Medicago truncatula: one gene and its partner. The protein of the gene in region 1 binds, or shares a complex with, the protein of each later gene. Links are inferred from orthologs where the notes say so. Each region holds a gene or a part of one and is shown in the gene's direction. Other genes may lie near its edges.

Region 1 (10,869 bases):
TTGGCGGATTTAGAGAGAGAATATGATTTTATAAAATCTTAAAAACATCAAGTAAGATAATCTTACATTAAATGTTATAAGGGTATAAAATGTAAATTAACATTTTGCCTTCACAAAAATCTCTCCACATAAACCAAACAATAAAATGGTTATTAATTATTTCCTTTCTATTTTTTTTCTCCTCCTCTCTATGTAACCGAATATTTCCCTTCCCTCTCCTCCATTTAAACCGCTCTTCCCTCTCGTGTCCTATTCGAACCAAACAAAATTCTCATAAAACGTGCTTGCAAGACTTTCCACAAATTTCTCATTTTCTACAAAAAAAAAGATAACCAAGCCTTATCCATCTAAGTGGGGTCGGCTACATGGAATAAACGCAACCATAATGTTCTATCATATATCATAACCCTATCCAACTCATTAATCTCTAGAACTTTCTTAATAGTTTCTCTAATAGTTTTTCTAGTCTTCCTCTGCCTCTAGTGTTTTGCCTACTAGTACTCTCCATCTGATCTACCTTCCTTACTACGCAATCTAGAGGTCTCCTCTCTACTTGCCCAAACCACCTAAGATGAGTTTCTACCATCTTTTCATGATAGGTGATACCCCAACCCTCTCTCTAATATTATCATTTCTAATTCTATCATACCTAGTCATACCACACAGCCAACGCAACAACCTCATCCCCACTACACTTATTTTACTCTCATGTTAGTTCTTTACTGCCTAACACCCCGTCCCATACAACATTGCCGGTCTTACAACCGTATGATAAATTTTTCCCTTCAGATTGAGTGGGACTTTTGTATCATATAAAACAAATATCTCATTGTCTACATTGAAGTTAATTACAAGTTACAATTCAACCTTACAATTACATTAAAAGTTCAAACAAATAATACCAATATCACAAATCACAATATTCTAAGTTAATCATGATTACAAAGGAATGAAGATACCTGTATTTGGTGTAACCCAAGCACACCTTTTCTTGCCTTCCAAGCCATCAATCGATTCCACCTCAACAGGAGCAGGAACAGCAACAACTGCATCAATACTCACCTTCTCAACCTTTGCACCAACCTGCTTCTTCCCCACACGCCTCGCCACTTTCCCACTCGACGAGGCGCCACTACTACAAGCCGAAGAATCTGTCGATGAAGCATCCGACGAACACGAAGCATTCATCGACATATTCTTCATCCCCACAACCCCACAATGATCCCGCCGCTTCAAAACCGCCGGTGTAACCACCACACACTGCGGCGAAGTTTTCTTCTTCTCCGTTTCGGGCGCCGGCACCGGTTTCTTCACATTCTTCACAGGACGAGCTGCCTTGGAATCAGAATCTGCTCCAACAGTGACATTCATGGATCGAACTCTGGGTGGACCCGACATTGCAAAACCCTAGATTCTAGAATATTCTTCACGAAATCTCTGTTTAGAAGATCAATGCCGAATACCCAATTGAAAATTTCGAGTTTTCAGAGATGGAATTGAAGTAAAAGATGATAAAAAAAAAAAGATTTTGAATTGAAAATTTGAATTTCAAGTTTGAGCACAAAACCCTAGAAAGAAGAATAAAGGGTTTCTTTTTTGGGAAGCATGAAGATGAAAAAAATGAGGTAAGTTTGGTTGTTTGTGTGAAAAAAGGTAGAAGCTTTGCTTTGTGTTGGTGGAGTGTGGTGAGAAAGTTGCAGACTTGCAGGGAAAGAGTGAGAAAGTGAAAGGTAAAATATTTCTAAGGGTGTGTTTGTTTCAAGTTTACCAAATTTATTCTTAAGAATAACATTTCTTGGAATATAAAGATAGGAATTTTATTCCAAAGAATTTAGGAAAAATATGTTTGGTTAGCTTTATAATATTCCTAGGAACTATAAAAATAGGGATTATAATAGGTAAACTATTTATGAATTTATTCTCATTTCCATGGGAACTTTATTCCCACCCTTTTTCTTGTGAAATTTTTTCTATTCCCAGGAACATTTTATGCCCGGGAATAAAATTTAGTAAACTTGTAACAAACATAGGGATATATATTCCAATCATTTTATTCTCGGGAATCAACAATTATAACTTGAAACAAACACACCCTAAAGGTTTAATACATGTTATGTTTTGATCCCTTAACTTATTTTTGGATTTTATTTTGGTCCCTTAACTATAAAGTATTTTAATTTGATCCCTTATGTCTTCTGTTGTTACCTCTTTTGATCATCTCCGTTAGTTTGTTTTCAAAAATAGTTAACCCTTGTCCACATGTCATTTAAGATTGGTGATCAACAACTAGATTTGAAAAGTACACAAGTATACAATAGGCTCACAACATATAATCATTTCTATTCTTATTGATTTTCCTAAAAATATAAATTTAAAATCACCATCAATCTTCATCTATTTTTGAAATAATTTGTATCCAGATTTTTAAAAATTAAAATATTTTTCAGAATTTTGTAGAAAAAAAAAATTAAAAATCTGACCTTTTTTTTAAATTTCGTAAAAAAATTATTTTTTTTCATATTTTATAAAAATCTGAATTTTTTATATATTTTTCAAAATTAATATTTTTTCCAGAATTTTGTAGAAAAAATTAAAAAAAAACATTTTTTTTCGGACAAAAAAAATCTGACCTTTTTTTGAAATTTCGTAAAAAATTAATTTTTTTTCAAATTTTAAATTTTGGAATATTTTTCTTTTCTAATTTTAAAATATGAATTTTTTATATATTTTAAAAATTAAAATATTTTCCAGAATTTTGTAGAAAAAAAAATCTGACCATTTTTAAAAATTTCGTAAAAAATAAATTTTTTCAAATTTTTTAATTTTGAAAATGATTTTATAAAAAATATGGAATATTTTTTTCTTCGTATTTTATAAAAAAATATGAATTTTTTTATATATTTTGGCTTCAAAAAAATCAGGTGTTAATCATTCACCGTAGGCTACAATACACCTACATGATCCAACGATTTCTATTTGAAAAATAGATCAAATAATTAAAATGTAACAGATAGGACCAAAAGACATAAGGGACTAAATTGAGACACTTTATAGTTAGGGGACCAAAATGAAATCCGAAAATAAATTAAGGGACCAAAGCATGTATTAAGCCGAAAGTAAAATATCTCTTTTTAGTTTAAGGAAGAGACTAATAAATGTGTTAAAATTTAATAAAGGAAATAATCATAAATTTTTCTTAGTTTAATACCACGATAAATCTTTTCAAGGAAAGTTTATCATATATTTTATTATACTTAACTTAATGATTAATTTATGCAACTATGCATAGAGGATATTCGTTCACATACACCCAAAAAAGGGAAGGAATAACAAAATGGATCATGTCTGAGACTATATTTTTTACAATCTTGATTATTATGAGACGGATTCTATTAACTTGGAGTTCCATCGGAAAGACAATAAGTAAAATATGCCCATAAACTGTTTCATCTCATAATCAAATTAAGATTCTTTCAAATAATTTGTCATTTGATAAAATTCAATAACCATTCGTCCTTAATCACTTGATTTCCTTCACTATTATTTATAGGTTTAATAAGCCTTTACCCCTTGTAATATAGGTCACTTTTGGTTTTGTCTCATGTAAAAAAAAATATAGATTCGATCATTGTAAAAAAAAATTGTTTTGGAAAACCCCACTAGGCCAGCTGACTGTACATTTTTGCTGATGTGACATGTTCCGTCATTTTTTCGGATGACGTGGCATACTAACTGTATAATTTTTTTTATTTTTTATGGGGTACACGTGACATTAATGATTTTTTTTTAAATAAAAAAATTCTTAATTTTTTTTAAAAAATGAAATAAATTCTGGAAAAATGAAAAAATTTAAAAAAAATGATTAAAAAAATTTAAAAATGATAATAATTCTGGAAAAATTTAAAAAATCTGGTCAAATCTGGAAAAAATTAATATATACCGAAATTTTCAAAAAAATTATAAAAAAAGTCTGAATTAAATTAAAATTATAAAAAAATTGAAAATATATTATTATATAATTATTTTGATTTTGAAAATTAATTTCTAGAATTTTATTTTATTCGAAAATATAATCTAGACGAATAACATGATACAATGGATATTGATTGACACCGGTATATAAGTCATGTTATACCGTTAATAACAAGCCCTTAATTCTATTCTTCATGATCTAATGTTATGTTTTTTTAATTATGAAAATACTTTTAAATATTTAGATTTTCTGTATAAAATAAAAATAAAAAAAACCAAACTTTTAATTTTGAAAGAAAAATATGAACTTTCATTTTTAATTCTTTTCTTATTATATTCATAAATTTTGAAATAGTTTAAGTTCCTAAATTTTTCATTTTTTTATAAAATAAAACTTCTTACTATCGAAAAAAAAAAAAAATTTCATTTTCCAAAATTTTTTAATTTTTTCGCTATTGAAAATAATATGGAAATATGAATTTTTTGAAATATATTAATTTTTTTAATTTTTCCAGATTTTATTTTATTAAATTTTCTAGATTTTTGTTTTTATTTTACCAGATTTTTTTAATTTTTCCAGATTTTTTTTAACTAAATTTTCTTGATTTTTCATTTTACCAATTTTTTATTATATTAATATTTCCATAATTATTTTGTTTTTTATTATTATTTTTATTTTTCCAAAATTTATTTTATTTTTTATAATATTTTTTCGTTTTTTAATTTTTAAAAAAAAATATAAATGGCATGTGTGCCCATAAAAAAATAATTATACTGTCAGTGTGCCACGTCATTCGAAAAAGGTGACATAATATGCCATATCAGCAATAGTGCACAGTCAGCTGCTCTAAGGAGGTATTCTAAACAAAAAAAAATTACAAGGACCGAATCCAAATTTTTTCTTTTACAGGAGACAAAATCAAAAGTGATCTATATTACAGGGAGGGATAAAGGTCTATTAATCCTTATTTATATATCCTCTCTTCTAATTTTCTATCTCTATCTTTTTTATAATGAAAAACGAGAGTTAGGTGAGACATGCAGAGAAGTAGTGAAAGAGATGATTCAAATTTAAAGAAATAACTTGCTTCCATTTTGTGTGTTGTATAACGAGTATAAGTTAAAAATCTCGTATAATCTAATATGGATTCCTATTTTTCCCAAAATTTGTTTATATATTTTATAATTATAATTATTTGAGACTAATTATTTTTGGTGAACCAAACATCATTTTAAAATATTTTACTTTGTTTGTATGTTATGTTATTATTGATAATTTTAAACTCAAGGTGTGGTAGTTGGATGATAATTTGGCAGTTACAAGTACCATTTATAGTAAAGAATTTCATGTGGCGTGCAGCATGCAAATGCATCTCCACCCAAACTAGACGTGAAAGGGATTTTTTTTTTTTAATTTTTAATAAATATGAGAAAGTGATATGTGTTGAAACTCATTTTCCTTTTTTTTTTTGTTACAACTTATTGTCTAAAGTAACAATAGTCTCATCCATAAGTTCTAACTCAACTGACAAAATGTCGAAATCGTTAGACATGATATCATAATCGGGGTTCGAACCACGGTACCTCCACTTATGTGTGTGAGTTTATAATAACTTTGTCATTTCGTCTATCTTAAAAAACAAAAAACAATAGTTTCAAAACCTCAAATTTATATTTGTTTTATTTATTCGCTTTTTATTTATTGTCTATTTACGAGAGATTATAGACATAAATAATCTTTTATTTGTGTTTATTTTTTAATTATGACGTCCACTTGAATTTTTGAAATATAATATACATATGTCGTTTAATGAAATTCATAACACAAACTAGGAATTAATACTTGTGTGCATGATGAATTTGGCATATTTATAAGAGCCAAGATATTGTGGATGCAATCGGCTGTAAAGGTAGTTGTTGCATAGTGTTTAGTTTATTGAAAGCAATGAAGTGGACTTAAAATTAGGAAAGAGGATTCAACAAGTTATATTTTCTATGCATGTCAAAGTGGTGGTTTGGGGGATTGTTTCAATTTCGTAGTACATGATATCATTGAGTTAGGTTCAATGTGACATTGAGCAGTGATATTTGAACAACCATTTTATATAATTTTTTGTGATAATTTTTTTTTCTTTTCTTTTCATTGGTTAAAAATAATGGAGAGAGAAAAAGGAAGAGAATGAATAAGAGGATAATATGGATATGAGAGGAAAAATTGTCACAAAATAGTTGTACAAATATCATTTCTCTTCTATTATTATATCGTACCAAGGACTATTTTACCTTTTATTTGTAACAACTCTCATAAGATTCTTTTTCACGAACTCATGTAAAGTTTTCTATATGAAAGGTTGATAATTGGTAACAGGAAGGAAGCTGCACATAATACAAAAAAGATTAAATGGGACCCACTTATCCAACACATTTCCACACATTCTAGTTCTAGTCTCTAACATGTCTAACTTTGTAGCAAGAACAACGCAAAAAAAGAACCAAATTTGAAAAATCTCAATGGCTGCAACTGCAACATATTATTTACATTCTAAAATTTCAAAACCATTTTCCCATTTCACTACAAACACATTTTCCATTCCTTCAACTTATCCAACCAATGTTTCATTGTTAACATCATTAGACCATCCATCACATTGTTACAATTCAACTAGAAGACTAAATCTTCGCGTAAATGCCAAAAAGAACAATCCATGGCTAGACCCTTTTGACGATGGAGAAGATCCAAATATCGAATATGGTTCGTTGTTTTCAGACGGTAAACAAGACGAGGATCCAAGGCCGCCCGATAATCCAAAAAATCCTTATGGATTCTTGAAGTTTCCAGCTGGTTATATGGTTGAGATAGCTCCTTTAGGATTGAAAGTTAGAGGTGATGTTAGAAGGTGTTGTTGTGTGGTATCTGGTGGTGTTTATGAGAATCTGTTGTTTTTTCCAATGATTCAGTTGATTAAGGATAGGTACCCTGGTGTTCAGGTTGATGTTGTGGGTTCTGAGAGAGGGAAACAGTGTTATGAGTTGAATAAGAATGTTAGATGGGCTAATGTTTTTGATCCGGACGATGAGTTTCCTGAGCCTGCTGAGTATACCGATTTTGTCGGTGTTCTAAAGGTTGGTTGGCAAGCATATTTTTTAAATAGTTTGTGTAAAGTTTCGATATTTTTCTTTAGAAATATGAGACTGAAAATCGATCATACCTTGTAAAGCACCGATACGGACGCGTGTCCGACATCAGGACACACCTAATCCGAAGACTGTCCGTGCTTCATAGCTCAAAACTCTTAACAGATTTTTCCTGCTACTTTCTAAGGTACATATATTAGAAATTTTATATAGGAACTGATTTATTGTTATGTTATGCTTACAGAGTAGGTACTATGACATGGTCTTGAGCACAAAATTGGCCGGAGTTGGCCATGCAGCATATTTATTCATGACAACTGCGCGAGATAGAGTTAGTTATGTTTATCCGAATGTGAATGGTGCAGGAGCAGGATTGTTTCTATCTGAAACATTCACACCAGATAGTACAAATCTCTCAGAGGGAGGATATCATATGTGAGTTTGTGCATGTTTGAAATCACGGTGTAAACAGTTTTTACACTGCCAATCAGTCTTAAGTGTTAGATCATGTATTGACAGTGTAAAACTTTTTACCTGATAGTATTTAGATTTACATTTGGTAGATTTTCACGAAAATTTTCTTTAACTGAGGACCATTTCCGATGAGTTTGACGAACTAGGTATCATCAAATGGAAGACTGGCTAGGAAGACCGTTTCGAAGCGTTCCACGGCAGGTTGTGCCACCACTTAAAATATCACTTTCAAGGAAGTTGAAGGAAGTTGTGGAGGAGAAATACACAAAAGCAGGTGTAAAGAAAGGAAGATATATTGTGATTCATGGGATACAATCAGACTCAAAAGCCACAATGCAGTCTAGGGGTGATCCTGATAGCTTGCTACCCCTTGAAGTGTGGGCTGAAATTGCTGATGCTGTAAGGTATGAAATGTTGCCCTCTAATATAGAATCTCTCTTAGCTTATTTTTATAAGTTCTCCATAATAGCTTATGAAAACAGCTTAGAACTTATTTTCAGCTTATTTTTATACATAAACTCTTGTATGATAAACATTTATGCTATAAACGTTTCATTAAGTTGTTTATCAAAATAGAGTTCAAGTAAAAAAGGTATCCTACATAACTGTATTCGTCAAATAAGTGTTTCTCAAGCAATTTCTCCTTATATTCTGTCATTTTCTGGTATGTATGTTTTGGACTATATTTTAACAATTAACATATGAATACAGGGAATTTACACCACTTTTTGTCATTCCACATGAGAAAGAAAGGGAAAATGTTGAGGAAATAGTTGGAGAAGATTCCTCTATAATCTTCATCACCACCCCTGGACAGGTACTCAAGTATCTCATAGTTATTTTGCATGCAACAAACTTAGAGAGAAAAAAATAAAATAGTAAAAAAATGTCAAAACATTGAACTGTGATGTGATGAAAATGAATGAATAGATCAATAAAAAATATGCTGTTTTAATATTGAAATAACAAAAATAAGGGGAAAGACAACAATATGGGACATAGGAATAGGCTTTTGAACATAACTAGTGTCCGTGTCTGTGTCTCGTTGATTTTTTTTCTTTGATCGACCAAAAATGGAAAACCACGGTGGCATAGTCTTCATGCAATCCGAATTCTGTGTGGATCTAATTTATTGTAGTTAAAATGTGAGTCTTCAAATCTTCATTTTAACAGTTTCAATTCCCTAACTGTGGTTGTATGGTTTAGTTGGCTGCTCTTATTAACGACTCGGCTGGAGTTATAGCTACCAATACAGCTGCAATTCAGCTCGCAAATGCGCGCGAAAAACCTAGGTAATTTTACCATTCACATGAATTATAATGTTTCCCTAAACAGCACATTAATTAAGCTTTGCAAGACAATCACATTGATCCCATAAAACTGTTGCTCAATTTATGCAGTGTTGCACTATTTTCCTCTAAAGAGAAGGGAAACAAGTTTGTTCCGCGGGCAGAAGAGAAGAAGTGCATTGTGATATCATCCAAGACGGGGAAGTTGATCAATATAGATGTTGAGGCTGTAACAAATGCAATTCAAACTTTCAATGTTTCTCTAGCTTTTGCATAGCCTAAGAGAGGGAAAACAGCGAGGGTTCTGAACTTCAAGTTAAGTCGTTGTGCTAACTATGGTTAAAACTTATGGTAAAGAAGGAATGTATATCAACTAATTCATGGCTTCCTTTGGGGCGATAAAAAAACAGGTACATGAATTAAAACGAAAGTCAAAACACGTAAAAATAAAAGTCGAGAAAGCTTTGCGATGCACAAGCATGAATCTTGTGACAGAAAAAGAAAAGTGGATCCTTTTCAGCAAAACAACAAACAAAAAATGTGAATCCTTATCACATGCACAAGATTCCATTTATTAAAGCTATCACCTAAAGCTGTTTACACTTTGACAAGCTTGTGACATACATATGTCGAGAGCGGTCTCGAGATCTCTTGGTCAATTGGACTAATCCAACGGCCGGCCTCTGAATGGAAAGACTGCAAAGAATCCAAAATCTGTGTCGAGATACAGAAATCAAATAAGTTTACACTTTGCAGTTCATTTGAAATAGTTTTGTGGAATCGGAACATATAAATAGAGATGACATTCCAATGCACTGGCAAGAAACAGAAACATACAAAGAGTTCGGCACCTTAGATGCTACTGATTACTCCTACTTATATCTAATCTACTGAAACAAAATCAGTTCAGTGGCTTTGCACGAGTCGATGGATCTTCCTTTGATTCGACACGAATCATAAACACGTATCCTAAAACCCACAGGAGAATGTACTGAAAAGGAACCCATGGAAGGCATGCAATAAGACTCATGATGCTGCCAATATACTGAGGATCACTGATGACCCCGAAAGGGAATTCGGTTACCCATGGAATAGTTTTTCCGAAGCGTACACCGTAGTATGTGCCGGCTTCACCAAGAAGCTGATAAACCCTGTCATTTGACAATATCATAATTATAATTAGGCAAATTTCAAAGCAATACAATTATAAAATAAGGCACAGTGAAAATATTTGGGCACATCAATTTTTTTTTAAGATACACTGTCATAAAAAAAATGGTATTCTTCTCAGTAAATTCGAGGCTAAAAATCAATTGTAGAGACAAAACTCTAAATTATAGCTTCATATTAGAATCAATTCTATTGTTAAAAACAGTTAATATCTATTCCGGATGCAAAATCGATTCTACTTGTCATTGTCAAAATCAATATCAATTTTGCTTTCTCCAAATGTGGAATCAAACATATACTTAATCTTGTTTTCTTATACTAATATCCAGTAATAATGATCATAAAACTGACCTCACATTATTCAACAAATGACACATTTTTCAACACCCTATATATTATATAAAATGAAAGGAACAAACTTTATAAAACCACATTGTTAGATCCACAAATTCCTATGAAGCTCAGAGACTCCTCAGATTAGGTGTGTCCCGGTGTCGGACACGCGTCTGTGTTCGACACTGACACGACACCTATAATTACACTAAATTGCGTCATTATCTCAAATTATCGGTGTCGGCGTGTCGGTGTTTGTGTCGTGTCCGGCGTCTGTGTGCGTGCTTCATAGACAAATTCAAACCATACCAAGAAACCACAACAAAAAGGAAACTACCTGAAGTTAAGGAACTGTCCAAAGGCAAAGAGTGGCCAAAAGTAAAAAGGAGGAGGCCAATGAAAAGAAGAGACAGAAAAGAGTGAAATGAACTGAATTATCTTCAAGAAATGACCAGCATAAGCCATCATTTTGGTAGGGTCTCTTCCTTTACCACAT
Region 2 (9,639 bases), on another chromosome or scaffold:
AGGCGTTCTAGGGCCAAAGCCCTTCCGCTTTTATGCTTATGCAACTGACTCCACTTGTGTATATCTACATACAACTCGACAATGCATATATGTATATATGGCTTACGACTTCATAATTCAACAACATGTATGGTTTTAATTAAATGAAAGCATACATCACCGTCAACAGCAAAATCATCACAAACCAATCCAAGATAAAAAAAAAAGTATAATTAATAACAATCATACTAATACATCAAGTTCATTCAACATAGTATATTTTAACTTGGTTTCATACTCACTCAAATTCAAAATTCATTAAATTCCACCAATTCGATTAACAATGTGTTCAGTAGGATTCAGGGTATATATAATGGTCTTACAAGTTGAAAGGAACATTTAAAAATGCTCAAAAGAATCCCCTAGTGCACGAGGCAAAGTTCAAAAAGTGGCTGACTAAGGTCATTTTCGCTTAAGCGACGGCTAGTTTGCTTAAGCGACCGGCTTACAGAAAGTTGGGGTTCCGCTCGCTAACGGTTCGCTTGCGACTCGCTTAAGCGAACTTCTGGCAGAATGGAATAATTTTTTCGCTTACAGGCTCGCTCACAGTTCGCTTAAGTGAACTGACAAAACAGGATTCTGGGCAGCTTGCTTGAATGCTCGCTTAAGCGACGGGTCGTTCGCTTAAGCGACCATTCATCTCGGTAGTGCAAAAACCTACGGGTTTCAAACCTTTTCTCACTCCAAAACCCAATTTTAATCCCCTGATCACCCAACGTTTCCAACAGATGGTTACAGGTTCATTGTACAACTAGGCATCTAAAGGAACACAAAACAGGCATTAACAACAACAATTCAGATCATTCTAGCAATCATACAAAACCTCTCCAATTTTCCCAACCAATTCTAATCTCCCTCAAATTCTGATCACAGCAACATTATAGATTAAGAAATCATTCTGAACATGAAAACTAAACACATTAAACATGATTCTTACACCATTCCTTTCAAAATCAGCATCAACCCTAATTCCCAATTTTTATTTTCAAGAACAATTCAATTAGATCAATTTTCAGAAATTATATATTATGATTATTGAGAGATAGTCTCACCCTTACCTTAATTCAGAAAATCGCACAACACACGGATGATCTTGGCTCTACTTGTTCTTGGTTCTTCTCTCCCAAAACTTGTTTTACGTATAAAACGTTTTCTGACTTCTCTTTTTCTTAACTCCCAAAACTTAACTCCCCTTTATTTCATTAAACTCCCCTTAATTCTATTAATTCTTAATTAACTCCCCACACTCCAAAATAACTCTATTTCTCATATTATTCTAATTATATTAAAATAAATCATATAATAAAATAATACACACCACCTAAAATCACAAATATTATTTAAAATCACATAAAAGACTCTAAATAATTCCAAATTAAATAAAATAACGACTATGGCGTTACATAGAGTTCTTTTAGCAAAATTTGGAGAGATTGGTTGTATGTTTCCTCTGGATGAGGAAGAGGGATCAGTTTGGTGGAGTAATTTAATTAATATTAGTCAGGGTGGTGGAGCAGGAGTGGGAAGTTTGATAGGTGATAATTCTGTGCGTGAGGCAGGTGACCGAACTTCAATTTTGTTTTGGTGGGATCCTTAGTTGAGAGGATGGGTTTTGAAAGATAGGTTCAACCGCCTTTTTGAGGATTTTGATATAAAATGACAACTGTGTTTGAGATGAGGCATCTAGGATGGGGAGAGACTTTGGAGTGTACATAAAATAAAATACAATCAATAATGATTATAGTTTTTTAATAGCAGCAAATCGTAACACATTGCAAATGATAATCATGTATTTTGGCATCGAGATGTTCCTTTGAAAGTTAACTTCTTTGTGTTGCGTCTTCTTCGCAACCGCCTCCCAACAAAACTACTGCTCGTATCTTGTGTGGGAAATTATGGTAATATGGACGACGCGACTCATATTTTTCTTCGTTATGACTAATTCCGTCATGTTTGGATCACTACTTATGATTGGTTAGGCCTCGTCATAGTAGTTCCACACCATATCTCGAAACACCTGACACAATTTAGTGTTTTGGGTGGATTATCGAAATCCAAATGTAATCTTATTTTGATATTTCTCTATTTGAATTATTTGGAAAGAACGAAATAAAAAAAATATTAAAGAATAAAGACGATACTATTTGCCATCTGCTTAACAAAATTAAGGCATATTCTTATGGATGGCTAAAGGTACATCAACTTGACAAAAAGATCATACTATTCACATCAACTTTACTTTTAGTTACCACATGTGGTATATCAACCCTTTATTATGGTTGTAATTTCCTTACCCTTGCTTTTGGTGTTTGTAACCGTTTTATGATGTAATTTCATTCTTCTCTTTGTTTCTCTCTAACATTCCTTGTATAGAGAAAGTAAAGTTGGTTGATAATAAAATTCCATTTTTGAATTTTTTTTTTAAAAAAAAAAAGAAGAATTTGAGAGAGGAAACATGAATTGACTAACTAATCAATACAATAAATAGATATTTCTTATGTCCCTAAACATAAACACTTGCTTAGCAAAAAAAATGTCTTAAATATAAAAAAAAAAAAATCAAATTAAAAGACATGTATAATGCTTCTTTTCCAAATTTCATAATTAACATCAAGTGTTTTGAAACGTAAAAGTCAAAATTAAATAGTATATACATATTTAATGTATATTTTAGATACATATAATTAGAGTTGTCAAATGGGCCGGCCCGACCCAGCCCGACTCGGGCCCGAGAGGTCCGACTATATAAATGGGTCAGCCCGGCCCGACCCGTTTATGATTGGGCAGTGAATTCTAGAGTCCGGCCCGGCCTGGCCCGTTTATGTTTTATTTTTAAAATTTATTCATTTTTTTTTATGTATTTTCTTATGTATTAGTTACTCACCATTATTTTTTTGCTAAAATATGATTGGATGGACATAAAAATATAAATAATTTTTACATTAACATTGAATAATAATTAAACTCTAGATTATTCTTTCAATTAAATCAAATTAATAATTTATAAACTTTAAAATTTTAAAACTGTAAGCTAAATTCATCCATATTTATTAAGTTTATTTATTTAAATATTTTTTTTGTTAATAAATTTTAAATTAGTTGATAATTTTTTTAAAAAATATGTTGTTTTTTAACAAAAATAAAATGAAATATGGGCTAATGGGCCGGCCCAAAGCCCGATGTGCCAGCCCGGCCTGGCCCAACTTTTGTACGGCCCAAATGGGCTTGGGCTGAAAAAGCCTGAGTGCATTTTTTGTTAGTTTTTTAGGCCCGACCCGACCCAAAAATATGGGCCAATGGGTCGGCCCATGAGCCCGACCCATTTTTGACAGCTCTACATATAATTGACATATCAACTAAGTTACCAAATTTCTTCTTTATAAAAATGAAAATTGCATTTAGAGGCTAAGGTATTTAAAAACGATATTCATGTATTGTGATGGTTAATGATAGTGATTTTTTTTTTTTTTTTTTTAAGTAGATTAATGGCTAGAATTCACATTTTTCAAAGTGAATAAGTAGGGCGTCCGGGGTTCCGCTACTAGAAAACAACAGGATATCTACATCAGTGGTCAAATACCTGATGTGAAATGCAACACGGTGGCATTTTCACATCGGCTGAGAAATTAGCTGAGGGGAGAGATCATTATTGAAGAGTGTTTACATCGGTGGAACTATATACCTGAAGGGAAAAATGAAACACGATGGCAGTTTTGTAATATTGATGAAGTTTATCTTTAATTATAATTGGGTGTTTTCCATCGGTGGTCAAAAACCTGAGGGGAAAACACGTTTACACATACGCTTCACTACAAAGAACTCACATGTGTGAAATCTCTCTCTCTTCCCGTATCACATTTCACATTTTTCTCACTTATACAACCTCTGCATATAACAATGCATGTTTCTGCCAAACTGAACTATGCTCACGAGGACTAATAGTGAAAATTCTATGAACCTGCAAATGGATCAAAGCCACTACCATACATATATAAGAGTTAATTAAGTTTTTGGTCCCTATGAATATCTGCAGTTTTGTTTTTAGTCCCTATAAAAACAAATCACATTTTTCAGTCCATACAAAATTTTCCGTTAGTGTTTTTAATCCTTGTTAAATTAAAATTTGTTTAATTATGCTTAAACTTCTAAATTTTTGAAAGATTTTTTATAGACATGTTCATAACATCGTAAGACACTCATAAAATCGATTAGGTTTTTAACATGTATGAATTAAATATGAATTTTTCTAAAAGCCAAATTTTCAAGATTATATTAATGAAAATTTGGACCAAATAATAAAATTTTGAGTTACTTTTTTGCGGAGGAACTTTGTATAATGTTCTAAATAAGTATGTAAAAAATATGTTAAAAATTTAAAAGTTTAAGCATAATTAAGCAAATTTTAATTTTACAAGGACTAAAAGTATGTGTTGGTCCCTGTTAAATTAAAATTTGTTTAATTATACTTAAACTTTTTTATTTTTAAATGATTTTTAACAGACATGTTAAGAACATTATAATAATATATTTTATAAAAAATTAGAATTTTTTAACATGTAATGAATTAAATATAATTTTTTAAAATGCCAAAAATTAAAGATAAAACTAACAAAAATTTAGACCTAAAAATAAAATTTTGACCTAACTTATTGCAGCGGAACGTTTTATGATGTTTTAAACAAGTATGTAAAAAATTATTAAAAAATTTAAAATTTTAAACATAATTAAACAAATTTTAATTTAACAGGAACTAAAAACATTAATGGAAAACTTTGTAAAGACCAAAAAATATAATTTATTTTTACAGAGATTAAAAAAACTGCAGATGTTTATAAGACTAAAAACTTAATTGATCCAATATTTAATTTACATTTTTTTCACCAAAAAGAAAATGCTTAAATCTTCCAACAATGATTGACTTGGAGTTTTCTCAACTCAAATGGATAATAAAGTTTCCACGTGGCATAATCTCAAGGCATAAGTGTATAAACCGGGCAACACGGTCAGCCAATAAAAACCTGCCCAAAAATTTCCATAGTCCAAATACACCATTCAAAATTCACACCATACCTAAATCCTTCATACACCAAAAATATCCACACACAAAAAATACCATGTCCAGCTTCACTCATGCCACTACACTACTCCATGCTCACATCAAAACCAAACACAAAAACACTTCAAACAACATCAACAACAACGTTAACAACTCTTTATCTTCTAAACAAAATGTAACAAATAGAAGAAATTTAGTTTCAACATTTCTAGCAACATCAATGGTTGGAGTAGTACATGTTACAACAACACCACTAGCACTAGCACAGAATTGGGGCACACGTTCTTTTATGAAAGAACATTTTTTTATGCCAGGATTGTCCCCTGAAGATGCAGTTTTAAGGATAAAACAAACAGCTGAAGGGTTACATAATCTTAGGGAAATGTTGGAAACTTTGTCTTGGAGGTATGTTATGTTTTATATAAGATTGAAACAGAATTATCTTGAACAGGATTTGAGAAATGCTATCACTACTTTGCCTGAAAATCGTCGCAAGGAGTATGTTAAAACTGCTAATGAGTTGGTTGATAATTTGACTGAGGTATGTATGATTAATTTTTAGTGGTGTTTTGTTAATTTGATGAATGAATTGAATAAGTCTATGAATAGATATACAACTTCTGCTATACTGATGTGTGCTTTAAAAGGCTTAATAGCAGTTTTCGCCACCTAACTTTCATGAGTTGCGATTTTGGCCCCCTAAGAAAAAGCCTATATAACTGCCCCTAAGTTTTGCAACCGTAGAAGTTTCTGGTCCCCCAAGGCCAATTTTTGGTAAAAAAAAAAAAATAGCACGTGACACCTCACTTAGGGTGCCACGTCAACGTAGACTGAGTCAAAATTGGTCTTGGGGGTCAAAACTGCCAGAGATGCAAAACTTAGGGAGTGATTTTGTAGTTTTTTTTTCTTAGAGGGCCAAAATTACAACTTTGAAAAAATTAGGGGTTAAAACTACTATTAAACCTTTTTAAAATTATAGTCATAAAATAAGATAATTTAGCCTTTGAAATTGATGAAATTCCAAAATATTTTGAAAATTAAAATTTCATTTCGTCCAAATTAGCTCATCTGATTCAAATTTTCAATTTCATGATTAATTTTAAAAAATTCAACTAATCGACTCAAATTGTCAATTTCATGGATTAATTTGAGTGATGAAACATGAATTTGACATGTTTGTATAAATTAGCTATCCTAAGAAACAAATATATAAATTAGTTTTACATTATCATGCACTATGAACTCTATTTTTCCATGTTGCATAGTTAATTTTAGGTTTAAATGCTATTTTGATCTTTTTATTTTGGCCAAACCATAATTTTGGTCTGTCGTTTTTAATTCCGTGATTTTGGTCCCCATTTCTGAAATTTTGACCAACTTATAATTTAACCATCCAAAATTTAATGATACCATGACACTAAATTGTTTACTCTCAATCCCTTGTACCATCTCAATTGATCTTCTTTTTCCTCTATATATTTGATCACCACTTAATTTAACATCATTTTTTTAAGACTCTCAAGAGATAGGCATTTGTTTTCATGTCAGATCACCATCTAACTTATTATACCTCATTAAGTTGGATGGTCGAAATGATGGGTTGGTCAAATTTTTAAAACGATGGATCAAAATTGTTCTATTAGAAAAAGGGGATGAGGGATGAATAGCTTGCTTGGTTGAACTAAGGTATTAAATGTGTTAAGATGTAAGGGTGAAAGATCTAGGTTTGAATCTTGAGCAAATGAGAAAGTACGAAAATAACAACTAACAAGCTAACATTTGCCATAAAAAAATTGGGGACTAAAATTACGGTTCGATCAAAATGTGATTTAAACTTAATTTTAAAATACAATTACAACAATGAAATGATATCATAAAACAATGGTTTTTAATGGATGCTATCGGTATAAAAGTGGGTTACACTCATGGCTATCATCATTTTAATAAATGGAATATGCATTTAAAGATTAATTTTGTCATGCAAAAATCAACATTGTTATTATATGATAAATGTAATGAACTAATGATTGCTAATGTCTAGCATCTGATTTATGGTTCTTTTTTTCCATCTTCAGATGGATCGTTATGTTCGGACACCAAAGGTATATGAATCATACCTATACTACGAGAAGACATTGAAATCAATAGATGAACTTGTGGCTCAGTTAGCTTAGTGCAAAGTTGAAGCTGCAGGGTATTGGTATTTGGAATTCTAATTGTATAAAACACATCTTGACATTTAATTTTTTTGAATTTTGGATTTTCAATTGAACATATATAAAAGGTTTAGAATGTGCAACTTCAAGTATTTTAAATTGAACATTATTAAAAGTTTTAAATCGAGAATTTTGACGCTAATGACTATTTTACAAACATTGATGGGAAATCTGAATTTTATCCATTGAATTTGAACTTACAAAGTCAAACTTTCAAACCTCTTGTACTATTAAAAGAAATTTAAATTGTGTACACCAACAAAGTATCCAACACAAGCCTAAACAAGTTAGAGAAACACACTTTGGTACAAATGCACACAGACTATAGGGGAATACACACGATCACGATTTTCATAAGACTTTTTTTTTCCATCTTATGAGTTTCTCGTGCGTTCTATGCAGTTCGGAATATAGAATTCAAAAAGCATAAACACCTCATACAGACCTCCAAAAACACGTTGAAACATTTCAGATTCTATAATCTGAATAGAACACGCGATAAACTCATAGACCAAATCATCAGTTTCGAGAGATAGCTGATTGAGATAGGAGGATTATTATTATAAAGAGAGCAACGGCAATATAAGAGCCAATAAGAGAACCAGAAATACGTTCACAGAAACTATTGTATTGTTGGCAAATAGGAAACCAATTGGCTTGTGTGTTTCCATAATGTGCTATGTACACAATTGATGCTGCTGCTGAGGCTGCTGCTGCTAGTAGACCCATCATTACCTTCACAATATAAACTCAATTGTTATTATTAAACATTGATCAGCATCACAATATATGGAAGAGTTTAATGAGTATGCAGCGCGTCAGCGTAAAGTTATTTAACACATGTATTTAATAATGTGTTACCATATCAATTAATGAATATGACAGCTCATTCATTTTTAAACACATTAATATAACCAATTAAGGAAAAGTTGCTTGTACAAACTTGTAGAAACCTTCACAATAATGTTGTCTATGTTACACAGGAGGGCTAGTTCTAGCAACTGGCAAATGAGACAAAATCTATGTAATGTGTTTGGATGAGAAAAGTTTATGAGCTAGTATGGATAATTCAAAATTTTCAATGTAAATTATATTCGTATAAGTTTGGAGAACTTGTAAAATCAAATGTATTTTAGGAAATGACTTATTATAGCTAAATTTATAAAAAAATTCAAATACTACCTTAAAATTAAGAATTTAAAAATCTCTTTCTTAGTCTCAACTATGTGAATATCAAGTTCAGTAATTTTTGTACTTGTGCCTAAATTTCAGCAACCTAACGAGGCTGGTTAGGATTTGAGATTTAAGTTGGGGATATTGTTTTTTGATTTAGGAATTAAAGTGGTCATTTTCTACTTTCGCTTTACTCCATGTGACACCTGATATGTCATGTCATTGTAAAACCTGAGCCACATCATCACTTAACATAATTATTTACGGTCAGGGACAGAAGTGCAGAGTCAGTGACTTCTTTTTATTTAATCCTGAGTCAAGGACCTATGTGACAGTGAGGTGCAGAGTCAGGGACTAAAGTGACCATTTACTCTATAAACATTAACAGAAGATTATTTTTGAAATGTTAACACTAAATATACAATACCAAGTTTTTTTTTGGGTACAATATATGATATATACCAAGTTGATCTTTATGTTTAATTTAATTACAAAAAATAAGTTTAACAGAAGGATTATGTTTAATTTGAAAAAAAATATTACTTTATGTTTTTATTTTTTAATGTCCTTTTTAATTACAAAAATTGTCATATACTGAGAATTTTTGTAAACATCATGATGAGTGTGTTTACCATGTCAAGAACAATGAGGAGAATCCTACTTTTTACTGCAGTGCTCCTTACTATATGGAGTATTGATAGGATTAATGAAAGCGCAAGATACCCACAAACAATAGAGTTGGCCAGCACAAAAAACCTGAAATATTCATGTTCAATATTAGCCAATATTTAATATTGTAAATTGCAATTTAATTAATTTTTCATTCTTAAAATTTGGGCTAGTCTGAACTCAAACATACAAAATCAATTTGTAAGATGAGTGATATCTTCTATAAATAAAATATTTTCAAATTCATATATCATCTAACGTAGGACTCTTAACTATCAGGTCGGTATAACAAAATACAAAAATAGAACACTTACACAAATGAGGGGAGATCATCATATTCAGCCCTGAATTGTACAAAAGATGTAGCAAATGGAAGCCTTTCATCAGTTGTTCCCATAGCCACAGCACTAGCAAGTGTTGCAACACCTGCAATTATTCTCAAAATAAAATCCATTATAGATAATCCTCTTTTCACCCCTTTATTTG

The links.
Region 2: photosynthetic NDH subunit of subcomplex B 1, chloroplastic (region 1) and photosynthetic NDH subunit of lumenal location 2, chloroplastic share a complex: the UniProt entries of both Arabidopsis thaliana proteins name them as parts of the chloroplast NDH complex. The link is inferred for Medicago truncatula from reciprocal best matches to the Arabidopsis thaliana genes PnsB1 and PnsL2.

What each region holds. Positions count from the first base shown.
Region 1 is NC_053045.1:954,859-965,727, forward strand, and holds photosynthetic NDH subunit of subcomplex B 1, chloroplastic, read left to right. Parts: upstream 1-6,390; 5' UTR 6,391-6,483; coding exon 6,484-7,095; intron 7,096-7,351; coding exon 7,352-7,542; intron 7,543-7,727; coding exon 7,728-7,985; intron 7,986-8,292; coding exon 8,293-8,398; intron 8,399-8,787; coding exon 8,788-8,873; intron 8,874-8,981; coding exon 8,982-9,147; 3' UTR 9,148-9,300; downstream 9,301-10,869. Other genes in the region: probable GMP synthase [glutamine-hydrolyzing], read right to left, coding at 960-1,398; phosphatidyl-N-methylethanolamine N-methyltransferase, read right to left, coding at 9,772-10,021, 10,711-10,869. UniProt on the Arabidopsis thaliana protein: NDH shuttles electrons from NAD(P)H:plastoquinone, via FMN and iron-sulfur (Fe-S) centers, to quinones in the photosynthetic chain and possibly in a chloroplast respiratory chain.
Region 2 is NC_053046.1:18,324,115-18,333,753, reverse strand, and holds photosynthetic NDH subunit of lumenal location 2, chloroplastic, read left to right. Parts: upstream 1-5,054; 5' UTR 5,055-5,153; coding exon 5,154-5,636; intron 5,637-7,170; coding exon 7,171-7,269; 3' UTR 7,270-7,403; downstream 7,404-9,639. Other genes in the region: casparian strip membrane protein 1, read right to left, coding at 7,831-8,046, 9,117-9,240, 9,468-9,639. UniProt on the Arabidopsis thaliana protein: NDH shuttles electrons from NAD(P)H:plastoquinone, via FMN and iron-sulfur (Fe-S) centers, to quinones in the photosynthetic chain and possibly in a chloroplast respiratory chain.